Danio rerio: one gene and its partner. The protein of the gene in region 1 purifies or fractionates together with the protein of each later gene. This does not show direct contact. Links are inferred from orthologs where the notes say so. Each region holds a gene or a part of one and is shown on either strand. Other genes may lie near its edges.

Region 1 (3,828 bases):
TACAGTGTCCTTCTAAGAATTTAACTGTGTACATATTGCTGTAATAATGGTAAATTATGCAGAAATGTATGCAACTAACTCTAAATCAAACCATAATGCTACACATAGTACATTGATAATTAATACTTTAAAAATTAGTGTGTACATGTGTAAATACATAACAACAAAAGTTAATTGGCATTACTGAAATAGAACTGTAAGACAGATTGCTTTAGAACAGTGGTGTCAAACATACAGCCCACAGGCCGGATCAGGCCCACAAATGAGTTTAATCTGGCCTACGAGATGATTCTGCAAAGTATAAAAATAAGCTGCAATTTTTCAATAAAAGTAACTGCAGTTCCAATTGTGTCCACTGGACGGCGCATTTACAAACTGTTAATTTCATCCAATCCAGAAGCATCAGTTTGACAGCCTTCTCAGAGAGAAAGACCACATCTATGCTCTGCCATACCACACTGTGATGTTCTCACGAGGAAACATAACTATTTCACATTTTGTCAGTTTAGTGGCTAATTTGTACAAGTTTAGTCGTATGAAAATGTAAGATACAAAAAAGGAGGCATGGCACCCACACCCCTAAACCCAGCCGTCATTGGTGGATAAGCAAATCATACTAAAATAAAACAAAAATATTTTTTAAATCCAATCAAAATTAAGCATGTTTTGACCCTCATTTGTAAGTGCAGTATTAAACATTTTCTTCTAAATAGTTGTTTCTTGAAGAAATCTTACAACATTTATAGCATTTATTACTTTTATAATACTACTAAAATCCAAATAAACGAGTTGTAAAAAGTGTGTTGTGAGTGTGTGTACCTGGGCAGTATCTTGTCAGGGAATCTGTGGGTGTGAAACTGAGTGGCCAGTCCAGGTTTCCTGAGCTGTTCAAACAGTCCAATCAAATTATGCGAATACAACTGAAACGTCTTCCCTTTAAACGAGAGATAACACACATTACACGCACGGCAAATGACCACACACAGGACATCCTACACATTACACAACTTGTGACGCTTGTGCTGAAGAAAATGGGAAACAACAGTCATTACACCCTGCACGAAGACAAGCTCAGCTGTGTAGTTACGCAAGTTGAACCCAAATTAGAATCAGAGTAAGAATGTTGCCAGAAAGGTGATGTGATGTTAGCTGTGTGCATGTGTGCCGTACAGGACAGAGGGTTGCCTTTTTACCTTCTGATTATGGTGATTTAGGCATTAGCAGAGCCAGCAAAGCAGTAAAATCAACCGTGAACACAGAGAGACAGAGAGAAAGACAGAAGAGGACCATGAAGCAACCGTAGAGAATCTCATTAACAAAGACAGAAAGAAGAGCCTCTCCCGTTATTCTCACTCACCTGATAATGACATCAGATTATTATTGATTATGTACAGCCATGTGCACCGTCGAGGAAACAGCTAAAAAAGATCAATGTAGTAGGTTAAGAGTACTTTTGGTGCATTGATCTATTTGTGGTGGAGGGTAAACGTGAAAACAAATCATACCTGCTCCATGGTGGCTTCATGCAGCTCGTTCAGGTTGAGAGTGTAGATGCCATCTTCTGTGCCAAATATCAGATACTGGTCTAAAAAAAAAAAAAGTTGAATTTGAAATGATGCTTTGACATTTAATTTTACACCATTCATAAATCTGTGGTCAGTATAAGGCAATGTTCTCACTGCAAGTGCTCAAATCTGATTTTTTCTCAGATCTGATTTTTTTTTTTTTGCATAGCTGTTAACACTGTTGTTATAGACAGGGTTCATACACATTATTACTACTAAAATTACAAGACTTTTCTAGAACTTTCAAGTACATATTCATAACGTAATGTTTCATGTAATGTCTACACATACATGAAAAATAATAAGAAAAACAATGATGTTCAAATGTATTACAGCATATCATAGAACAAGCAACAATCTATTTTCTTTCAATTTGTTTTTATATCTATGTAAAACTTATTTTGATAATGCTTACACAGCACTAACAATGTGAGAGCAAGTTTTTGGCCAAGGACTGAAAATAAGTAAAGACAACTAACCTATAATTAAGTTAGGGCTGCATAATATATTGTTTCAGCATCGATATCGCAATGTGTGCATCCGCAATAGTCACATCGCAGGATATGCAATGTTGAGACTATAGTTTAATCATAATGGATTAAAAGTTTGTCATCTGCATGCATTTTTAAAGACATAGTTCATCCAAAATCTACTTACCATTTTCATTACACCCTTCCTTACAAGCATTTATGAGTTTTCTTTTTTTTAACGAACACAAAAAGAATATAATTTAATAACTCCTATAGTATTGAAACAAGTAAAGTGTAAGTAAATAGTGAGCACATTTTAATCTTTGAGTAAACTGTCCCTTTAAGGCCTGTGACTGTGTGAACATTTCAATATTTCAAGTTTTAAACCATCCGGCCACAAGACATTTTTTGTAACTTTGATAAAGATTAAATAATATACAATGAAGAATATGCAGTGTTGATTATTCAACATCTGTACCTGAATAGCGACTACCTGAAAACCATAATTCACTTTTATCTTTACTATATTTGATTGATCTATGTTTGTAATTTATTTGTTATTTATTATTCGAGATTCACTCCTCTACAAAATCCCCCCAATCAATCCAAATGAACCTGTTAAATCATCTGGCGAAATTGTATTCCCATCGCAATATACATCACAGAAATACAACATATTTTAATGTCAGATCTTTCCAATATCGTGCAGCCAAGTAAACAGATATTTGTTGAACTAATCTTCATGACTTTTCAAAAACTTTGTGGGTTTTTCTGCTTTTCCAAAACTTTTCACGGCCTGGAAAATGCCATGTCAAAATTCCATGACTTTTCCAGGTTTTCTATGATCGTATGAACCCTGTATAAATGTGACCAATATCAGATTTGAAGTGTGTACAGATCATGGTTCTAAACTGACCCGCATGCGCAAAAGTACAGTTAAAGACACCACAAAATGTCTAAATATGCACAGGATGTACTGAATAAAGCATGCTGTCAGATTATGCTTAATATGATCATTGCCCTTTTCACAGACAACCGAGGTTCATTTCATGAACTGTAAAGGGTTTTTCTGCAACTACTACTGTGTATTTCGGCGTTTGAATCCTAAAATAAGTCAATTGCGATAGAAAACACTGATCATTATGACATATGACAACCGCAGTGCACGTCTTTCTGACCACCAGTGTAGAGAACTCATTAAGGGTTAATGAGCAGCAGCAGACTGAACTGTGAAGGCAGAGTTGGTTTAACTCTGTTTGCAGAGTTATTTCATTTTACTTTGTTATAAACTACAGTTGCGTACAGAAAGGGGGTTTGGGTGCTTTTTTCTCTCTGAGAGAAAGTTCATCCTCAAAGGGCACCTAAGGTGAAAAATCTACTTTTCAAGCTGTCTGGACAGACATATGTGTAGATATAGTGTATAGACTGTCATATTGGGGTGATATAAACACACACAGTCCTTTTTTTCCATTTAACAAAATAAAAATGGTGGACCAATTGGAGCGGTTTTGAGCCCGACCGCAACTTGACATAGTAGTGCGGTCCCCCCTGCCCACCGAATTGATTGACAGCTGCGTATTAACATGTCTCCATAGTAACGAGTATAATCATATCAACAAGACAGGACGTGCGTAAAGCAACCGGGAATAAAAGGTCTCTTCAGTTTACTAGGATCATCAATCATCATCACATGTGATCGAGAATGAGTTTTACAAGGTTAGAATGTTTTAAAACAGTTTACGTGTGTAATGAAGTACAGCAAATTACTTCAGATTTACTTTATCACCACAGCC
Region 2 (4,270 bases), on another chromosome or scaffold:
TAATGCAAAATACAGTAGTTTTAATATTACAATGCTAATTAAGATAAACTCTTGTTAAATAAACCCACTGAAATGGGTACAAAGGATTTCTTATACAAACAATGTTTAAACGCAGGCTGCTGTTGTCCTAATACTTTGCCATTATAGTTGTTGGTGGTCTTTTTTTAATTCTATATTTAAAAAGGTCTATAGGTTATACTGCAACTAAATACATTCTGGTGTAGCTAGAATGAGTAAAATGAGATGTAGAATGAATACCCTCAATTATTAACTGAATTTACACAAAAAAAATGCAATTTAACTTTAATGTTTTACTGATTTAGAAAAGTAAATTCGGCTTGTGCACATTTTCTTCAGTTTCTTCCACCGATAAATGTTTAAATTCATTAGGCACCAACATATCATAAATTTATCAAAAAGTTGAACATGTGAAGCTAATATATATAACTCCCCGTGTAAACAACAGGTATCCAGATAGGATGTGATCCAAGCTTGCCTTCCAAAATGTAAGCAAAAATACAGCACTTTAAAGCTTTTACTCACGCTAGGCTCTGTCAGTGCCCTGTGTGTCTCATTATCGCGGTTCAGAGAGTTTGAAATGCAGCCCCTCTGAACGCCACTCATTTCATTCTTCCTTTTAAGTAACAGGCGCTCGGGGCGTTCGTGACGGGCGATCAGACAGACCGTGAGCGCGCGCAGATCCGCCCTCCAGACGCCATTTCTCGGACGGTGTGGGGAGCTGAAGCAGCCTTTACACCAATCCCGAGAAGGAAAGGAGGACATAGAAAACAGAATTTTTAAGAAAGGTCTTCTCGCTCGTACTGTAGCGTGAAAGACGCGCGCGTCAGAAAAAAGAGCGCCGTGCAAGGCGGGAAACTTTATGTTTCTAGATTTTTCACAATTCGTTGTTTGTGAAGACGTGTTGCGGGCCGCCATTTTTGTTACAGCTCTCTAAGTCTGCTTGGAGTCAAAATTAGAGACACAACTCTTTCGTGCTTTGGGGCAGAACGCAAAGAAGAACTCGTTTTTGGAAGCAACTGACGTACGTCGGCTTGAATTGTCATGCTGAGCGATTTAGTAACATATTATGGCGCTGTTTGGCTCCTCTTGAGCGGACGGTGACTGAAGACGGCTAGCTCAGCTAACGCGTTATATTGTCTCATAAGCTGCAGCTACTTTCACGGAAGAGAGAGCGGAAAGGGGAACTTTGATTCCAAATACGTGTATTTGAGCTCGCTCTGAACTTTTGGGGTTATTTACACCTCTCCTAAAACCGCCGCGAATCTTGTGTTGGTGGAAAATTTAGCAATGCATCAAAGTTGGTTGACGCTAGTCGCAGCCTGTCTGGTCAAACGTCAGGTTGCGGTTCAGTAGGACTGACGGGTCTAGAAGTGCTAGGTCGCTTGTAAGAATAAGCATTTGTTGTTTTAATTTATTGCTCGTTTTGCTTTTTTTCACCCGTGTTCGTCAGTTACAAGTGTATTTCGAATAAACATGTCGTCTGCACGGTTCGACTCCTCAGACCGAGCCAGCTGGTATTTCGGGCCGGTTTCGAGACAGGAGGCGCAGAATAGGCTACAGGGACAGAGACACGGGATGTTTTTAGTGCGAGATTCGTCCACTTGTCCTGGTGATTATGTACTTTCAGTGTCCGAAAACTCCAAAGTTTCGCACTATATCATCAACTCTTTGCCAAGCAAGAGATTCAAGATAGGCGATCAAGAGTTTGATAATCTACCCGGCCTTTTGGAGTTCTATAAAATACATTATTTGGATACGACCACCCTGATAGAACCAGCACCAAGGTAAGAGTTTTTTTCATTTACTTTTGACATCGTCACATCATCCACCCCTCTTCTCAATAATGTTCTTTTCCCTCCCCTTCTCTTCTGTGGCAAGCCGTTTAAACATTCGAAGTAACCAGGATCTGTTTTTATTGACTCATTTTTGTCATCGTTACTTGCTAGACTATATTTTTAAGTTGCATTAGTTACCAGTTATTACTCATCTATTTTGTACGTTTTCTGTTGCAACAATACTCCAATACCCAGTAGTGTATTGTGTAAGTAACCTGTAATTGCAACGGAAACTAAATTTCAAATCTTTGCAAGTTGAAGCTTTTTGGATGTTTCTGGAAATGCTTTCAGTTTTACTTTTAATTTGACACTGGCATTTATATTTTAGCTAATAAGTAACACATTGCATGGTTTTATTGTGGTCTGACTACTGTGGTCTGCTAGTAAGGTTATTTTTGAGCTATCATAATAATTTTTTTTTCACAAAGTGGCAAGTAAAAAAAAGTTGTTACAAGATAAATATTGCTAGTTACAACTAGTAAAACTGGAAAGACAGCAGTTTGTTACTAGCATAATTTTCTTAGTGACTGTCCTCTAAAAATTTGACTCTACTAGTCCATTAAAATCATGTTTTTTTGTATAGCCAATTCAATTATAAAGCAGAATTTTTTATATTTTGATGTTGTAATTAAAACGTATTATCAGAGATAATTTGACAGAGATTCGGCTTAGTTATGATTAAATATTATTTTGCTAAATATTACAACTTATGATTGTAATGAATGAATCATTTGGAAACTTTGTACATCTGTCAAAAATGGACGTCATCTGCAAGTCTTTATAAGTTGATAGTAATGTAAAAGTATTGATTAGTTTTGGCTTACTTGCTAGACAAAAAGTATCATTAGTTGGCAAAAATGCAATCTCAATAATTATTTTCCATATTGACAATATGAGCAATTCCATGCAAATGTCAACCTTGCTATGAATTTTTTTTATGTTTTTTACCAAAATAGCTAAATTCTTTTTTTGTGTGTGTGTGTGTGTGTGTGTGTGTGTGTGTGTGTGTGTGTGTGTGTAGGCTTGTATTTTACTGGACTGAAAAATCAATTATATTTAATTTATCAAAGTCGCACAAGTAGCAATTTTACATCCGTCACATCCATAGCAGAGAGACGTCACATCCATAACTAACTTAACTTTTTTTTTCAATAAATACAAAAATGTAAAATAAAATCAAGATTTTTTTTGTTCTATAGAGAGCCAACTCTCATCCTTTTAATTAGCATTATTTCATTTGAGTTTTGCTGTTTTAATTCACATAATTTCTTCAAAGTATGCTGTATACTGTAACTTGCAGACTTTTTTGGTCATATCCATAACGCATGTTTATTTTCCTCATTTAAAGTATGAAAAATGTTTACAGATTGATATTTTTTAGATCCCTTAACTTGGTGGTTAGTTGTTTTTGATTGTTAAAATATACTTTTTTCTGTGAATTTATGTTTTGAGTTTTTGTAAATGTTATATCTATAATGCTGAAATTGCTCATATTTCGATGCAAGTTGTTAATGCTTCCAGATGTAAAAGTGTATGCCAACAATGACTGAAGTCACAAAAATTAGAGGGACCATTAAATGGCATAATATATGTTTGGCCGATAAATTTTTGGTGGCCGAACATTGGGTGCATCTCCAATACCAACACACTTTTAGATACCCATTGTTGCACATTTCTGCTGTGTAATTAGGTCAATATCAAGTAAAAAATTTCAGAGCTTATCATTGATATAAATTTTCGCGACTCGATATAATACAGTTTATCGGCCCAGAATTAATCATTAGCATAAATTGATTCACTAAGTGTAAGCTATAACTGTTAAAACTGCTTGCCATAGGTTTGGTGGCTGTTTAGTATTACTCTTACAATGAGAGTAATGAATTAAACATCTGTAGTTCCCCTCAATTTTGTTCTGGTTCTTTATAAAATGTTCTTTTTGAGATGTGCAGTAAAGAAAAATTAAGTTATTTCCCTTTAAGATAACAGGAAGTTACTCTGCATGTGAAAGTGCACATCGAGTAGATGATTAAATATTACAAAAGGCCTCCACTAGCGAGAAGCTGATTAAAGTGTTTGCTTTTAGATGGGCTCTTAAATGCTGCTTTTCTAGTTTATAAGTCGATCCTAAATATGATTTGATTGTTGTTCTACAGGTACCCCAGTACTGCTCTGCCCAGTGGTCCTATTCAGCCATCTGGAGGACTGGGTGATGAGAACCAGGAGTATGTGCGGACTCTTTATGACTTCACTGGCAGCGATGCTGAAGACCTTCCTTTCAAGAAGGGTGAAATCCTAATAATTATGGACAAGCCTGAGGAGCAGTGGTGGAGTGCCAAGAACAAAGAAGGCCGAACAGGCATGATTCCTGTTCCCTATGTAGAAAAGCTTGTGAGATCTTCGCCTCATCCTGGTCA

What was found.
Region 2: the proteins of map4k5 (region 1) and crkl purify together in Homo sapiens (affinity purification with western blotting; 3 studies listed by BioGRID and IntAct, with this or other methods). This does not show direct contact. The link is inferred for Danio rerio from reciprocal best matches to the Homo sapiens genes MAP4K5 and CRKL.

The regions. Positions count from the first base shown.
Region 1 is NC_133188.1:40,182,302-40,186,129, forward strand, and holds part of map4k5 (mitogen-activated protein kinase kinase kinase kinase 5), read right to left. Parts: intron 1,586-3,828; coding exon 1,506-1,585; intron 1,419-1,505; coding exon 1,358-1,418; intron 1,197-1,357; exon of another isoform or gene 938-1,196; coding exon 820-937; intron 1-819. UniProt on the Homo sapiens protein: May play a role in the response to environmental stress. Appears to act upstream of the JUN N-terminal pathway.
Region 2 is NC_133196.1:20,316,049-20,320,318, forward strand, and holds the start of crkl (crk-like protein), read left to right. Parts: upstream 1-1,209; 5' UTR 1,210-1,494; coding exon 1,495-1,805; intron 1,806-4,009; coding exon 4,010-4,270. UniProt on the Homo sapiens protein: May mediate the transduction of intracellular signals.